Drosophila melanogaster: one gene and its partners. The protein of the gene in region 1 interacts with the protein of each later gene in a pairwise test. Each region holds a gene or a part of one and is shown on either strand. Other genes may lie near its edges.

Region 1 (7,048 bases):
AAGCCAAGCCTTTATTCCTTTAAGCCTTTATTCGCCAAGCCGATCTTACAATAAGGGCATAGAGAATTCGTTACGCCGCTGAAACACTAAAAATTCCATTATAATGTCAAGGTCGCTGCGCTCTTCCCAACCCCATGTGGTAAAGAATCGTTCTTATCTGGCAGGCCTGATAAATCACGATCTATAGTGGCAACATTTCCTAACACTGAGAAATTTCACTTTCGCATTTTCAGAACCTTCCTCACGATTTAAGTGGCCCTCGTAGTATTCAACTATTTCGCAATGGGCGAGATATCATCTTCAATTCGCTGCCAAGTACTTTCTGCCAAGTACTTTCAGTCCAACGATTTACGGCTATTGCCTCAACTGACTGAATTGCTGAACGATAAGATACTAGGTGAGTCAGGTGAGCTGGCTGCTTCCAGATAGCCAGACGGTTTTGAATCCCCAACTACGGTTTGAGGTGGCTAGGCTGCATATAATTACGGTGTTATTAGTGGCACCGGGGCACTGGGAATCGTTGCGACTCCAGACCCAAATATAGTAATCTACATTGTGTCCGAATCGGAATCTATGCCAAGTTGGCCGGGACAGTCAAGTGCATGTCTGGCCCCCGGGAAAAGCGGCGTTGCATTTCCCATAAGCTCGATGTTGCCGCGGATGTCCGCTCGACATGGTCTTCCACCTGCTTGTTTCCAATGTGCTCACATCCTGAGCAGACACTGAGAGATATAGGGTGTAGATTCCAGAAGGGAAAGTGTATACCGTATTTTTTGTGGTATCTAGTAAATGGTAAAACTATCACATAAGATTTTTGGATAACAACATTCGTTTTTAACGATAGGATTACCCTTTTTAATATGGACAGCTATCAGCCAGCATTTGCGAGTACATTTTTCTCTCAGTGTGCCTCTCGTGTCCAACCTTGGCTGAAGCGAAAATCAAAGTGTGGGCTAGTGGTGGAGCCCACGTGCCCATGAATGGAGGCCAAGTCAAAGGCTTGGCTCTTCGGAAGCCGCTCCCAAGTCCTGGCCCCGAATCACTTGGCTGGTTATGCTGATTGGCGAACTGGGGTTGGGTTAGCCATGACTTATCTGCGTATTATTAGAACATGAGCAATGTCATCGCCTGTCGCCTTTTCTCACCTCGTTTTCCGTACCACCAAACTCATTAATTTCATCCTGGCACGCAATTTTGGCATAAGTTTCCTAATTTATGACCATTTCTGCTCATATGTTTCCCAATCATTCAAAATGGAATGGGATCTGAATGGCAAAAGGGATTCGCCCGAACTAGCTTAATGGCTTATGATAGTTTTTGAGGCGTTTTAAGTGCTAATTTTCTTGACTGACGTCACTTGGGACACGTGTGCAATTATAATCGACAAGAAAGTTAAATAAATTAGTGAAGTTTGAAAAGACAGCTTTTATGACTTTGACTTTAAGACTTTGTTTGGAACGCATTAAGCGCAGAGAACTGAACAAAGGACTAAAGGGAGTGTCTTAAGTAATGTTTATTGGGTTGTGTGAAATTACACGCGTAATTCCTTAACCACAAATGCAAATTATGTTATTGTCGTTCATCTGAAGTTAAGTGCACAAGGCATTCATTTCGCAACTGTAAGTGCAAAACAAAAGGTTCTGGCATATTGTTTGCAATCCATTTTTCGTCTACAACAATTAATCAATTTAATCGGATTATTAATTTCGGCTTTGCGCAACTCTTGGGCACTTTTGTTCGGCAAGGTGATGATTTTATTAATAACAGTCGCGGGAAAGATCGAAACCTGTTCGCTGGCTATTAAAATCGTTATAAATTAATTAGTCAGATGGGCAGGGGACTATTCAGTTTTCGTTTGCTCGTTTGCTGTGCGGGAGGAGTACGTTCAAACTCACTTATAATCTTTATGGGCTTTTGCTCCAAACGAATTTATGTCGCTTAACTCGTTTACAATGCACCATAAATCAAAGGCAATTTATTGGGGTTTGTGGTTTATGACTAACTTTGGAAGTTTGTCAATTAATGGCGATAATTTGAGACGACACGATAGGGAAAATTGGGAGACTGAAAGGCTGTTTTTCAGGCACATAATGGATGGCATTTTAAAAGGCAACAAAGTTGTATTTCTTTCGGATTGTTTTTTTAAATTTGCAAAATATGCAATTTGTACACCAAAGCGGACTAAATTTTCGGTATGGCACACAGTCACTTCTACATCAAATCAATAGATATATGAACATTCCAATTATTTTCCGTAAACTTAATTGAACGTTACGTGAATCAAAAACTTTCCATGGGAACCGAACATCTTCGCTTCTGTGCATCTCAATGGCAGCTTATTATCTTAATTATAAGCTATCCGATTAACAAACAAGTTGATCTTCCATTGAGAACGGAGCTCGGTTGGATGGAATTAAGTAAATGGGGATGTGCACTAACTGTGTTAAATGTCTAAATGTTCTCCAGTCATACCAAAAACCATTTCCTGGCCTTAAGTTTGCTACTGTTTTGAATGCCAATTTCACCGTGATGTCATGTCAACTCCGCGCACGATTATTACTGTAATTTTGTTATATCTGCGAATCCGTCGCCACAAAAACAGCAGCTACTAACGTCAGGTGGAAGTCTGTCTACACATATATATATATATATATATATGTATAAAGTGATGTTGGTCCAAGATGACAACGCATTGAATTATGAGGCGGAGAAGACATTAAGCGAAAGAGGGATATCAAATTAGCCACACGTTTGTACTATAATTTGCAGAATTTCAGCGCCAAAGGGCTGCGAATTTCTCACGCACCTCACTCGACTATTTTTAAACGCTTACTGGTCTCAAAATTCCACCCGAGCATTAAGCAGCCACGTTAAGTGAACATATTTAATATCTAAATCAAATATTGAGCCCTGTGTTTAAACACTTGATCAAATAGATGCTCAGGCGTTGACATTAATTAGCTGGAACCGAGAATTCTTGGCTTGGCAAATGAGTATTCAGTGCCGGGTAAATATTATGGTCATTATCACAACGATATCGGCGGAACAGGCGGCGAAAATGACGCCAGAGGTTGGCTTTAATTCTGCGAAGCAACCAGAGGAATGCAATTAGGTTTTTAATTAATTTGACTGTTCAGATCGCACAAATAAAAGTTCCTACTTATTTGGCTCTTAGGGTGTTTTCCTCCAGTTCATTCACTTGACTGACTTGACTCGGTTCGGTGTGGTTTTATTGCTTTCGTTGGGGAGCCATCAACATCATCATCGCATAAATTGCCTCGGCCGGAGTTTCCGCTGTTGTTTACCTAGCTAAGTTTTCTCCTATCTATCTTTTTTTTTTCTTTCCAGGCTTTTCTGTCATGCAAACTTTCAGTTACAGAAATCATCATCAATCGCCACGGAAGCTAAATCAAAGCAACAAAAAACTACGTCTAACTATAAAAAAAAAAATAACTCGGGGCTAATTTGCTGTCTTTGTCATGCTGTGTCAGAGAAATTATTGAAAACCAATCATCTCGTTATCGTTATCGACAGGCGGGCTACTCTTTGATTCGCCCAACCACCCAAAACAAAGAAAGAAAAAAAAGAAAAAGATGATTTATCAAAACATCTTTCGATGGCTTATTAAAGTTGATTAATTGTGAAGGAATGATTAATTTAAGGCAAATTTTGGGTTACTATTTGTTTGCTTTGAAAGTGAAATCCAAAGAGGGGCCTATTTTGCAATAAACAAACTGGGTGCTTTATTAAATCAAAAGTAGATTTGTTAAAACTGTATTCATTACAAATTTTATGGTTTACTTTTGATCGTTTTATTTTAATGTAAAAAAACATAAGGATTGATACACTGGCAATAGCAAATTGCAAACGATTTCGATCAATAGTTTTGGAAATTATACACTCTCATTGGTTTGTGATATTATTCAAGCAAAAGTTGAAAGCCCCAAAAGAGTGGGATTAACTTTCGCACAAAACCATAACAATTTGCCGCACTCTCGCCCCCAAATTTTGCTCGCAATTAACCTTCGCACACACGCACACGCATATTTCGCATTCTCCAGCCTCCAATCGCCAATCACTCACCTGTTTTCTCGACCATTTTGCTGTCTTCTGTCTTCGGTCTTCTGGCTACGATCTACTGTCTTCTGGGGGCTGCCACTTGAGATTTTTGGCAAGCGTGGGGGGTTTCGAAGCGAACTTGTGCTTTGCTTTCGTTTTCAAAGCGTGCTTTTTGCCTTATTGCTTTTTGCTGCGGGTAAAAGTGAGTTAGCGCGCACTCGAATCGAACTGAATTGTGCCAATAGTTTTTTGTGGCCGAAATATAATTGTTAAGGTTAAGAGTCTTGAGGTTGCACAATTGTCTGCCACTTGACCACACGGAGTCGAATATGGGGCGGAAAGCGGTGTTGTTATCAATTTAATTTCACCCGATTGACTTATTTTCTTCACTGGGCTACAATATTTTCAGATTTCCTTTTCGAAATTGGAAAGCGCAACGTGCAATAACTCGATTTTATTATTAGTTTATTATTATCGCCAATTAAACTAACCGCTCCGAACTCGATTTCCTTTTCGGATTTTCGAAACTGCCGCTTTTCTTTCTCGCAGTTTGTACTGTAGTGCTGTAGTGCTTAAAGCTGTGCTACCACGTTCGCTGCTCGAGCGCAAATAAGCGTTGCCAACGCTGCGACTGTAACTGATATACTCTCTGCCGCGGTCGTCGTCGCGGTCGGCGTCGCAGTCGCGTCGCCGTCACTGCCCCATTCAGATTTTTTAGTTTTGGGGCTTGGCCACCGCGGAGCTCCGCATGTATCCACTTGGACGCCTCAAAGGATCTAAGCTCGGAATACACCTACCCCGGATGACTTAATCGAATGGGGGCGCGAAAACATTTGTAATGACTCTTGTGGCTTTTGATGGCTCTGTTTTGGCCAAAGTGAGTTGCTTGCCAAATACTACAATAAATCCCTACTTTGCCCTTCGAAAGTAGCTCTCAGTTAGTTCTGAGTGAAATTAGTCAGTATAACTTGTGGCGTAATTGTTTTTTAAAACAAAACGTATGAGTATGAGTAATACCCCATTCGAGTCTACCCCATAACACGAAACATTTTCCAGTCATGGTCTTATCAGCTGCTAACCGTTACTGATGATATATGGACTCTCCCCCAAAGTTATTCTATAACCAATTGGCATAACATCGGTTTAAATCAACTGTTTCATATCCGAAAAAGCCACTCAAGGGCCTTAGTCTTTAGACGAATCACATAGATATAATATAGATAAGATAGGCACATATGTACATATATCCATGTATAAGATATATATACAATAGAAAATGGTTGTCTTGCTTAGTCTTTGGTAAATGTGATGTGATAATCACATAAAAGCTCCCAAAATATAGCATTGCTTATATGGTGCCAATTAAAAACCAATGAATTGCAATTAGCCGACAGATGGCCAAGTTCATAATCGAATTGTTATTGACCATGGGGAAAGTTCACAGCCATTTTGGGTTTTTGCACACAGCCTAAGAACTATTATTCGCCTGCCATTTTGTTCACTTGATATATGGACACTCAAGGAGCCATAAACACATTTTTGATTAATCTAATTGCGCTGGTCATGCCGAACCTCAGACTCAATTATCGCATAGCTAAGATGTTATCATTACAGGGGGTTTTTGACTTTTGATAATCCACAAACGCTGCACGTGACTGTTTGAACCACCCACCAAACGGTTGTACTAGACCTACCACCCACCCACTCAACCATTCCAATGCCGGAACAGTTTTCATTTTCTTTTAATGGCACCTTATTGCAGCTTTTCCAACTTAAAACGCGGCTAATGGGTTATGGACGGTTGGGCCGTTATCAGTTTCACTTTTAAACAGCTTTTCACCAACTTTAATATGCCATATTGATTGCGGGGCTTTGCTGGTGAAAAGGGCTTTTACCTTGTCGTCGTCGCGGGCTATTTTTATCTCTTAACAGAGCAACAGTTGCGAGTTATTGACAAAACAAGTGACAAGCCAAAATAAAAGAAGACTCGCTCGCCAAGAGCTGCGATTTTGTTTGTGGGGAAGCGTCTTGGCCCATTATGAAAACAAGAGCCAAATCGCAGACGGACTTATTTGTGCCTTCGCATGGGGAATTCAAGCGAAGTATGTATGTATGTACATGCCGGGGCTCTTTTGCTTTAATGAGTAATTATATTTAATGGCAGTTAAGCATTAAAATGGCACAAACTCTGGCTAAATGGGCGAGATAATAATCGCCGATGTGGAGATGGTATATGCCTGTCGAATTACCAATAGATCTTGGCTCCTTTTCAACTGGAGTTTCATTCACCAAAGTGAGTTTGCCCAACGATACCAATTAAAAGTATAATTTTATCTAGTAACTAGATGGGAATAGTTGAAATCATCAAATTAGATTCGCTTTAATTGTTATTAAGCAGTTGCAGATTATCTACTATAGGTTTGTAAAATAGATTTAACAAAACTTTGAATTCATCGAAAGGCACAAAGTAAAAACTCAGAATTAGACATTGGAAATAATTGTTGTTAATGCTAGTTACAGATAGTACGTAGCTGTTGTGGGTAAATTACCAAAATTGTTTATTTCCCTCTTTAGAACTTATACTGAAAATATTATTAAGATATCATTTAAGTTTAATAATCTAGTAGGATATAATCAATAAGTAATACTGGAAATCCCGCTGATTCCCAGACGATCATCCTCCAATGAAGCGAATACAATTTGTTCAAGACCCATGCCAAACCATATACATAAATCATTCAAATGGTCGCTGCAATTACCAAATCCAAATTAAATTTAATTCAGTTTTGTGCAATTATCTGTTTTCTCTGCACTTGGCTCTTGTGAGATGCTTCGAAAACAATTCGAAATACGGTAACAATAATAACCGTAAGCGAACTCCAGTGACATTGAAAGATTGGCAATTGTAACTGAAAATGACGGACGATCGGCAAGTGGATCGAAGAAAAAAAAGCGAAAAAGAAAATGATAAATAAAAATATAAAGTAAA
Region 2 (5,545 bases), on another chromosome or scaffold:
GGCACTGGAGCAACACGTGGTCGAGGTGGAAATTCCGCTGGCGGGGGCAACTCCACGCTCATCCAAACCCAGGGACTCTTCTCCGAAGGAGCAGGCGATGTTCATGTGCGAAGGTCCACAGGAAATGGAACGGCATATGCACGGGGCGGTGAGGAGGTGTCCGTGACCAGGAAACGGGTGGATCGCAAGGACGACAAGAGCCAGGCCGAGCGGATCAAGGAGCTCTTGGGCGAGTCGGACGCCAGTGGCGGCGAGCTCAGCGAAGAGGAGGCTAACAAGACTGAGATGGCACTCAGGCCCATCCTGCTAAAAGAGGGTACGTTTTACAAGCACTTTTTGATGCACACGGGCAGAAGAAATTCATGCTTTATTTGTTTATAAACGTTAGGACTCTGGGTCACCCAGAAGACACCGATTGCGAAGCAAGAAATCGCCAGTTCAACCTCAACACTTAAGGGTAAGGCGCTAAGCTTTAAAAATGGCATAATCTAATTTGATTTCGCTCCTAGACACTTTGGCAGTGGCCCAGCATTTGCAACAGCTGCATGTGGCTGCCCAGGCAGCCAGTTTAGAGGAACCTCCGCTGCAGTACGGTCGCTACCCACGCACCATTGGTAACTTTCTGGACTCCAGCGAAGCGCAGATCTTTCTCATGCAACTGCCAGATGTGTTGCCATGTGTGGGCGACGATTCCGAAGATCCGGAACCGTCTAAAGGAGATCATCAGGCCACCAGTGAATCGGAACCAGCAAGTCCTGCAGACAAATGCTCAAACGGACCCAAGGGCAGTGTACTACGGCAGCTGGAAGAAGGGCAGATCGGCAAGATTCTGAGGTACAAATCCGGTCGCGTTAAACTCCAATTGGGGGACACACGCTTTGACTTGGATATGGGTCTCGATCCGGGTTTTCTGCAGGAACTCATGTCTGTAACCGCCAATCGCGAGCAACGTAGTGGAAACATGATCAACTTGGGACCCATTCAAGCCAAACTAAAGGCCACTCCAGATTGGGTGCACCTTTTCCAGCAGCAGGATGCGGCATCCAAGCGAACGAATCCAGTACCGGGCACGTAGCACCCACTTCCCCATGGTAGATATGTAATATAGTAAATAGGCTGCGCCTAAGCTTAAGTTATTCCTATTCTAAATGCCGTATATAAAAGTTAAATATAGAAATTTTTATAATACAAATGCTTTTCAAAAGGTTATTAACAATTGTACTCGAATATGGAACATAAAAGAGACTCCAAGAAAGATGGGCTTGGAACTTGGGGATATGTAACGTAAATTAAGCCATCAATACTTAATGCAATGACCCAAGATTAATTTTTAGGTTAATGGATTGTTGATATATTATATGTTCAAATTAAGTGATTATTATAATTTCAAATACGGTCTTAAAATTTGAAAAGTATTCTAGTTCTAGCAAATCGCTTTACAATAGCTAGGTTATCCAATTCCTATTCTTTTGCGCAAATCAAATATACTTAAGTGTGTTGTTTATTGTGCAGAAAAATAAAAAAAAACACGGACTTTCAACTTTGGTTAGAAACCTATAAAAAGCATTTTAATGTAACAACAAACTAAGACACTGCATTAATTAATTACTCAAAACTTGCTGGTTGGGTTCGGGAGTGGCGTCCGGGAGCTGAGAGGTGCTTCGTCCGTGGTAAAGATTACCGGCCATATCGATGGCGAAATTGTGGTCCACGGGATTGGCCAACGCTGTCTCAATGGCTGCATCCAAGTTTTCCCTAGTGATATAGTTCTTGGAACGCTCAATCTCGAGCAGCACCCGCTGGTTGGCCTGCTCCTTGCGCTCCTCCTCGCGCAGCTGTTGTGCCTCCAATCGCTCCTGAATATAGGCCACCTTTTCCTCACGCTTCTTGGCCAATCGCTGATCACGCTCCTTGGCTATGGCAGCGTTCCAGGCAGCATTGGCATCCAGGCATTTCTGGAACTCGGCCTCCTCCTGCTCGGGAGTGAGCACGATGTGATCTGCTGTGGATGTTTCCTCGTGGCGGACGACTTCCTCCCTTAGAAACTGACGCACTGAGCGAAGCTGCGTTCTGAAATCAAGGCGTAGATTGTTTTGTATAACGTCTTTTGAAACCGATTACAAATTATCTTTGACCAGAGACAGAATCTGGCGCTGGTGCACGCACTTGTACTGGTTGTGTAGCCTCATGAGCTCCGTGCGCTCCTCCTCCGACTGCTTCTTGCGTTCAGGCACGCGGAACATCTTGCTCTTGGCCACCGGCAGCCATCGCGGTTTCCTGCGCCAGCGGACGAACTCGAGGGCGAAACTATTTCCGACCGTCTTCCCGGTGGGCAGGGTGGACTGCGTCAGCAGCTGGCATCCCGCTCGCAGCATTATAAAAGCAGTTTAATTAACAAAATGTAATTTTTACTTTGCCGCTGCTGAACTGTTGTGCAACTCTGTTGTCGGTGAACTGGTTCCGCGCAGTTCGATTGCTGGTTCCGTCAGTGATGACCAATATGGAAAATCGAAGAATCAAGGAATAAATCAATCTTAACAAATCAAATTCAGATAGAAAGGCAATAGTAATTTGGTTGTCAACTTACTAAATTTATTGTCGTACATATTCATATTAAAATATAATTATATACTCAGCTACATAGATATATTTTTAGGTACAGCTTAATTTTGCGTTGCTAACAAGTTTTTGCAATTAAATTGCGCAGGTTATGAATGTTTTTTATTTGTCCAAAGATACAAGCTTTGAAGTCCAGACAGATCTGTTGTGAAAATAGCCAAACTTCCAACGCACTAGTGCGTTTCTCACAATTGCGCTGCGCTCAGCTCGGGCTTAAAAGCTTTTGGCCAGGTGAACTTGACGGGAAGGTACGAAAAGTAACTGCTCACTCAGTCGACGATATATCGCCGCGCTGGCCGCATTAAAATCCGAGCTACGGAACTTCGCTGTTTCGCCTCTTGTACGTGGGCTAACTTAAAACAAAAGTGGCTTGCGCAGCCGGCGCGCCTTGAAAGTGTGTGTGTGTTCGTGTTTAAAAAAATAGTGTGCGTTATTGAAAAGCTAAGTCAGTTAGAAGCAGTGTGGAAAGTGCATATTGTATATATCTCTTGCCAAGGCTAAAAGTGTTAAAAGTTAACTCCCAGAAATGCACACACGCATACCGATGCAAGCGAAAAGTTAAAGCGACGATCATTCATTACTGCGTCTTCTTCTTATTCATCTGCTCTTTGCGACGTGTTTCGCTTACCTGTCCAAAAAGCCCGAGTATTGGTGGGCTCCACAGCTCCATAGCTCCCTCTCTCTCTCGCTCTCTTTCGATTTGCACATGCAAAAAGGCAGCAGCAGCAAGAACAACAACAAAAACTCCATCTGAGAGCTTTAAAGCCGAAGTTCTCGACGCAGACGTCGGCGGGAGCAGAGCTTCAGCAGCGCAGCGGCAGCGAACAACTCGTACAGGTTTGTTGGCATTTTTTTTCACATTGGCTTTTGATTTTTGTTTACCTCTGATTGGAATGGCAATTCGCACTGGTTGGACTGTAAATATTGTCTCATATGTGTGTCTCATGTATCCCAACCGCTTACCACGCACAGAATCGAATCGAATCGAATTGGATCGCTTCGTAGCTGGAAATTCTTATAAGGCGATCAATTTTGCATATCGAATTTGTTCAATTGCTTGAACTGCACGAAACAGGGGTTCTATTGTTCTCTTTTAATTAAATAACTAAAATGGGTAATGTAGACTTTCCTTTTTAAAACTTAGTGCCTTAAAATGCCACATCTTCTTTTCTTATAATTTAATTAGTGTACCTTAACTGTACGATTAAAAGTTTACTGCTCTCTAATCGTTGGAATGTTTATCTTATGCAACTTTTTCAATCTGTTTACTTTCACATTCTCCAGCATTTAAGATAAGATTTTATATCTAAAAACGTGATTTAAACAAGATTAATACAGAAAGAATGCAAAGTTGTTGGATGATAACGACAATGTACTAATCTAATTCCCTTTATTTCAATATAAATACTTAATATTCCCAACTATTTAGGTTAGCTTCTGTGATAGTTTGAAATTACCTATCAAATTGTGAGCTTAACTTATTTAAGCCAGTAAATTCCCGCTACACAACTTATTTTCCCACCAACATAACCTCGTTTGGCTTATCAACAACGCTCATTAAAAATTCCGAAAAAGAGTTGCAACTTCGGGGCACTGCACCACGCGACGCAGAAGTCAAAAGTCTTGCCTTGAACGCCTGAGCAAGTGCAAAATCTGCTTGCTAATTTATTTGCCCATCTCCAACCTGAGGTCTTTGAAAATCTAAACACAAAAATGTGTAGGAAAATAATTATGCCAGCAGCAGCAACAACATCAGCAAGTAAAACAGTTTAAATGACTTTCAGTCACGGCAGCTCAGCAGGTGTTGGCTAAAAGGGGGAAATCTGGGGAATGGGCGCTGACTTCAACTTAAATATGCAAACTTTTTCCGCGCTTGGAGAACATTCGCAAATTCTGATAAGAGTTCCCCCCAACTGTAAAACCTAATTAGCAAATGTTGTGAGGCAATTAAACCAAATTACAGTTCTCCTTCTTGCCCGTGTTGCAAGTTGAAAGGCAAGTTGAAGAGAAAAAACAACAACAAATTTGTCACAAACTGTCGCAGTGCGGCTTTGCACTTAATTAAGAGGAAAACAAAAGCGAAACGTGAAATTCAAAAAAAAAAAAAAACTTATAAAGACTAGCGCAAAAAAATTTGTTTCAAAGTAATCAAATATATGCAACGCATGAAATCTTTTCAAATTTTAATAATGTTTAAGAGTATAACTCCATGTAACCAGTAGAACAATAACTAGCAAATTAGTAATAAAAAAACCCTTTTCTGAATTCTAAAAAACTAAGAAAATTGCAGCACTTAAGCTAAATCCCTTTACTTGAAGTATATTTCCTGGTCATGTCATGAGTGTTTTTTTTTTTTAACAATCTTAGCCTGCCATCAGAGCGACCAGCCAAGCGAAAGATTGACAAACTATATTTACGACTCCCTTCTGATGATCTCAGGCAAATGATGACAATCTGACACGCAAGGGAATCCATTACATTTCGTTCTCGCAGATAAGAGCTTCTGGCAAACTCGACAACAACCTGCCACATTTAGATTCTCGTCTGACGAACTGACCTCAAACTTAATTACCAACTTAGCCTTTTTTGGCCAACCGAAAAGTGGGTGCAGCCCATGTGACCTAATCCTGACCGAGTTGACCTATTAAGCTGAGGAAAAGTCAAGTCAGGGAAGGGAAATGAGGACATTCGAGGTGGGATATGCTTACGTAAAATTAGCTGTAGCCCCAAAGTAAGCGAAAGTATTGGCCTGCTCAATGAACGCTTTATTCTTAGCCAAGCGTTTTACGTGCTCATAAAACTGGGATAATAAAAAGTTTCCGAGGCACGACAGAGTTGTGCCATTGGGTCTATTTTGGGGACACCGTTTTATGTATTGCGCCCTCAAGAGCAAATTAAATAATAAACAATCGAATTTGGCAATGTG
Region 3 (5,793 bases), 7.2 Mb from region 1:
AAGCACTTGTAAATCAAAAATTGTTTAAATTGTACTTTTTATGATGTTAAACGTTATACAAAAAGAAAAAATAAAAAAAATTTATTGATTGATGGCCATGGGTGAAAAGGCCCAGTTAAGTTCGTTTATTGTTGTAGATCATCAATGGAAGCACAGTTTAACGTTGGAATTAAAGTAAAAAACTTTGCGAAGCAGTTTAAATTGCCGCGTCAAACTGTGTATTATCAATTTAAAAAGTATAAAAACATAATGATTTAAAAAAACTTAAAAGGTTTTAACGGCCTTAACAACATTCACTGACGACAAAGTCTTTATGAGGGAATTTAAAAAAAAATTTTCCAAAACCCCAGCCGTTGAAACGCAGTGGAATCTGACCGCCAGGCTTCCCAAAAGTAGTGGCCGCCCAGTTTGACGACGTTTAATGGCACAGGGCGTGAGGACATACATATGTAATAATCGGTGCCCAGGGAACACCACGGGGAGGCCACTACAATTGTAATGGGTCCTATATTTACATGAACTTCGCGTTTATTTTCCACTACTTACCAATTACTATTTGCGCTTATATTTCCGTACTTTACTATTGCAACACATTTTGGAAATTGTTATAATTGTAATTATAAAACAAAAATTTTCCAAAAAAAGTCATTACATTGAAAAAAAATTGTCTACAAATAATACGTTGTAGAAAATACTGCTTAAAAAACTGTTTATTACAAAAGTCTTGAAAAATCTTGAGGCACGAAGTGCGGACACAACGTCGCGAGCTGAATACTCTAATGACAATTATTTTAATATAGTCATTTTTGAAATTTATTTTGTGATATTATGATTCGGCTATTTCTATTTCTAAGCTTTATTAAATAATAGTAACGTTAAGGCAATGCAAAACAATAATTTTTCACATGGTGCCTATTTATCAAAAATAATATAGATTTAAAGTCTAAGAACTTTTAAGGTGAAGGGCATATTTTGTCAAATTTACAATGCATGAGCATACGTGTGCACACATACAGTTGTCTGCTATCACTGCAGGCGTCGAAAAGAGCTGTTCGCTGTAGCGCTCTCCGCTCTCTCGCTCTCGAACAAAAATTTGAGAGTATGGCACTACGCATCTGTTACTCTAGTGTCTTCGGTTCGGTGACTTGGTCCCTGTCTCCGGCTCGATGAACCAAAGGCAATGTTTGACGACCCTAAACGAAAATGCGTTTCCTTCTGGAAATAGGCTGATCGAGGATCATTTATCCTGCAGAAAGATTATGCTCCGTGCCACAAAGCCCGAATGATAGCCAAGTTTCTAAAGGCTGTTGGCGTCACTCTCTTGAATTGTGCACCTCAAAGTCCAGATTTAAATATAATTAAGAAATCTGGTCTCTTTTAAAACGGAAAATAACTGTTCCGTGACACAAAACTCGTTAGAAGGCGATTTCTGAAATCACTTCTCTTTTTAAAGAGATGATCCTTTACAATATGGAGGATTTAGTAAAGGTTCGACTTACTTACACACAAAAAATAGACATTACTATCATATTAAACCATTTAAAAGTTTCACTGAAAAAAGGTTTGGAGTTTATTTTGTCAAAATGCTTACCGACTAGTGTATGTGGATACAGCAACACAGCGCACAAGATAATCTCGTGTTCATATGTACATGTTACAGAACGACGTAACGTAACATAATTAATTACCAGCTTGATATAGGAAATCAAGACAGTAATGACCTTACTAACTACTTTAATTAATTTATAAATAAAATATTTGTAAGTTGGGTAATTTAATAATAGCTATCAACAAAATTAAAAACAGTACGAATAATTCATGTCTCGCCAAACCGTTCCACACAATATCAGTAATAACCGTAATAAACATTTAAAATACCTTTTTTTAGGTCTTCCGTAGGTAAAATTCCCGTGGAGAAATAAAATATCATTTCAACAATTTGTTCAGATTGACCTCTTTAATAAAAAAAAGTGCTTTCATGACTCTGAAGGAAATTCCGGAGTTTGGATTTATCGCTACTATAGTAATCAAATATATTAATTCTCAAAATTTAAATATATAACAGAAATAAGAAGTGAATGGCGCACTGAACACATGAAACATAAAAAATGAAGTGAATAGTCTTCTTTGGGGTTTAAAAAACACAAACTCCTCACTCCGCCCCTTAATACAATAAGCATGTTGTAACATTTAAATTGAACTTTAACTTTATTAAAAGGAAAACACCTCTAACAAATATATCGAAGGGAAAATTTCAATACTAGTTTTAAGTAGTTGGGAAACTACATCTGAAATATTAGTTGGCAGTTACTCTGCTATTCATGTAAAATTGCTGGGCGGAGAGCAACAAAGTCAAAACATATATACATGCGGCAATCCAGCAGTTGTAGGCATTCTGAAAAAATTTACCTTGCATTAGCAGACGTATGTGTACATATGGTTGTTGTAAAAAGAGAACATACCTGATTGTATGCTCTATTTGCAGCTGCATAAAAATCTTCCAACGAATGGTATTCCTCCTCAAGAGGTAAGTCCTCAATGAGGGCTACACTATTTATGTAGAAGAATAGACCCATTAAAACCTTTAACATAAATATGTAAGTGGTTACTTTTTGAAACTTTGACGAAATTAGATTCTCAGTACTCACCAATTGGACAATACCCCAAACAGAGATAATAAGACCACAAAGTGATAGTTTCGGGCCACAGATTTTCATTTTCTTAAATTTTTGTTAAACACTTTTAAGAGAATAAAAAGTTTCAGCAAACACAATTCGTCACAATTCCTCAATGAAAACTGTGATTTTGTCAGGTGAACATATCATGTGACCAAACTTTTGGTGTGGCTGTGCACAAATAAAATTAAAAAACTGATGCAAATGTAAGCGATAAAAAACATAAGCTCGTCAAACTAGCGTCGGTGAGCTAGTGACGATTTAGGAGCGGTGGAAAAGGAACAAGGGCCGTTTTAGTAATTTTAGTCACTGCCCGGAGCGTGTGAAGCGCAATGGTCAACATTCTACTGCCCGGAGCGTGTGAAGCGCGATGTCAGCATTCTGCCGTGAGCGCTGCTTCAGAAAACGGGCTACTTCATATTAAGCTTAAGTTTTCTGTCTTTAGTTTTAAAACTCATCAGAACGCGCATAGTCGCATAATAAATCGCAATACACAAAATCGTTGCCTGTTAATTTATATAACAATATATATATAATATATTATAATATATATATTATATATATATATATATATATACAATACAATACAATAAGTATAATAAATAAATATATATATACATATATATATATATAATAATAATAATTTTAATATTATTAATTTTATTATTATAATTATTAATATTTTAATATATATGTCGGAGATTGAGTAGATCTAACATATTATTTGAATTATTATTTGAATGTAACCGACATTTGTTTATTGATCCGTATGTTAAGGATGAGCAGCGAGTAATAAAATTCACGGAATGAGTTCCGTTATTGAGTGGGCATCATTTGTGTGTGTATTCAAATTAGCATGGCGCCTGTTGTTGTTGTGGTAGAGTTTTGTGGAAACGAAGTAAGGATAAAACAAAAAAAGAATTTTGAAGATGAGAAATAGAAGAATAGCATCGAGAAGGCGACGCTTGAGTAAATAAGTCTGGTGAGAACTGCCAAAGAGACAACACGCAGGCGACTTGCTGTGCTAATTAATTGGACGCTCGGCTTCACCGACATATATATATTATATTATATCATATATATATATTAACATATCCATTCTATACCCACAACTCCCCAACCACACACACTATCGTAAACAATTACACACACACATCAATGTGTAAGTACGAAATGTAATTAAAGATCGAGAGCCCTTCGATTAAGCTTAGCTGTCAATTACTCACAGCAAAGTGCAAAAGTCCGAATTCCAAAGTCTAGACTCTGCGTCGAGCCAACGTCCACGTCCCCTAAATATCCGATCACTTGGTGAACCAACTGAAATAACAAAAACTTCCGCCCACACAATCGTCTCAGGATTCTCCAATTAATCCTATTTTTCGGAAGCTCCTCTCTTAACAGGAGAATAGACGTTGATAACGTTGTTCTCTTAAGCTTCGCTCTTAAGCTATCCCAATCTGCCTACATAAACCCAAACATGCCCCAATACGTTAGTTCAGTTCTGAGTACGTTATCAATCGCCATAACCCTGCTTAAGATTGAACCACGCGAATCGGCGCTAAAGTGAACATAAAATCGTAATACAATTAACTCTTTTATCCGCAAAAGAACTACTTATAATCGGTGGTTGACACGCAATAGTCAAACCTACTGCATACGGTCAATAAAAGTGTAAAAACAAAAATAAAAATAAAATCATCAGCCATGGCAACCGAGCAAGTCAAACTGTTATCGGAATCCCATCTGAATCAAGCCTTAAGCCAAATTAGGCAAATACCCACATTCAGTGGTAATACCCCAGAACTCAGTGCCTTTATCCGAAAGATCGATTTCATACTTCCAGTCTATCCATCAACCGACACCAGTTAAAAACATGTATTCTTCAGCGCAATTGAGATGCAACTCGCCTCGCGCGATAAACGAGTTCACATGCGTCTGATTTGGTTTTTCCAAAAATATTGACAACCTACAATTTCGTCTTGTCTTATTTTTTGATAGGGTTTTATCAAAGACTCTAGAATAACAAGATGCGTACCGCCATAACGACTTTTTGGCACACGATTTTTTCGGCGTGGCTCTAGAGGTGGCTCCAGGCTCTCCCGAATTTTTGTTCAAGATCGAGAGAGCGGAGAGCGCTACAGCGAAAAGCTCTTTTCTACGCATACAGTGATAGCAGACAACATGCATTGTAAATTTGACAAAATATGCCCTTCTCCTTAGAAGTTCTTAGACTTTTAAGGCAATGCAAAGTCTAAGTCTAAGCAAAGTCTTAAGTCTGTATTATTTTTGATCAATTGGCACCATGCGAAAAATTCTTGTTTGCATTGCCTTAACGTTATTATTATTTGAAAATAGATTAGAAATAGCGAAATCTATGTACATCACAAAATAAATTTCAAAAATGACTTTACATTAGAATATTTGTCATTAGAGTATTCAGCTTACGGCGCGTAAAAAATTAAATTTGTAAAATTTATGTTTTAGATTACAGTAGTTATAATAATTTCCTTTGTATTTGCTTTAATTATTTAGTATATTTATTAGTCATTTGATATTTTTTAATATTATTATAATATTTAATATTGATATACATTTTAATATTATGTATGTAAATAATCAAATTTTATTATTTAAAGTGCACATTAGATTCAGTTGTTTTTTCATATTCTTTTTTTTATATTCAAATTTGATATTTTTTAACAGCGCGCAATTTCATCATATTGCTACGAAATTGGCCAAAACTCCCCAAATATGTAAAATCGTTTCTTCGATCAGAATTGATTTCGTCCCGAAAATCGTATTCTAGCACAACACGCACACATATAGGCGTTCTCTTCTCTTTTTTTACTCACACAAGCAAGAAAATTCTATTTTTATATTTCTTACGCTCTTAGCGTTCACAATTCGTTCACATTTTTAATCGAAAGAAATTTTGATTTGCAAAAAACTTTTTTCACGTTCACTTTAGCCCAAAACTAACCCGCCCACATTTGTTGGATATTTTTTTATAATTTTATTAGTTCTTTCGAATTGCCAAAGAACTTTTGACCGAACCGGTCAAATTTTACATTTTTTCTTATGAAATTTCGCGTTTGCATTCCCACTAGCTAAGTAATGG

Evidence for each region. Proteins that work in one complex are often made in the same cells at the same time.
Region 2: the proteins of Drip (region 1) and mRpS26 interact in a two-hybrid assay, tested with the Drosophila melanogaster proteins (one large-scale study listed by BioGRID).
Region 3: the proteins of Drip (region 1) and RNASEK interact in a two-hybrid assay, tested with the Drosophila melanogaster proteins (one large-scale study listed by BioGRID).

What each region holds. Positions count from the first base shown.
Region 1 is NT_033778.4:11,424,970-11,432,017, forward strand, and holds the start of Drip (drip), read right to left. Parts: upstream 4,677-7,048; 5' UTR 4,100-4,676; coding exon 4,084-4,099; intron 2,835-4,083; exon of another isoform or gene 2,483-2,834; coding exon of another isoform or gene 2,473-2,482; intron 1-2,472. UniProt on the Drosophila melanogaster protein: Forms a water-specific channel.
Region 2 is NT_037436.4:18,103,492-18,109,036, reverse strand, and holds mRpS26 (mitochondrial ribosomal protein S26), read right to left. Parts: upstream 2,459-5,545; 5' UTR 2,376-2,458; coding exon 2,167-2,375; intron 2,071-2,166; coding exon 1,602-2,070; 3' UTR 1,538-1,601; downstream 1-1,537. Other genes in the region: Polr3D (RNA polymerase III subunit D), read left to right, coding at 1-316, 389-457, 510-1,075.
Region 3 is NT_033778.4:4,185,298-4,191,090, forward strand, and holds RNASEK (ribonuclease kappa), read right to left. Parts: upstream 2,831-5,793; 5' UTR 2,718-2,830; coding exon 2,649-2,717; intron 2,583-2,648; coding exon 2,463-2,582; intron 2,396-2,462; coding exon 2,297-2,395; 3' UTR 1,538-2,296; downstream 1-1,537.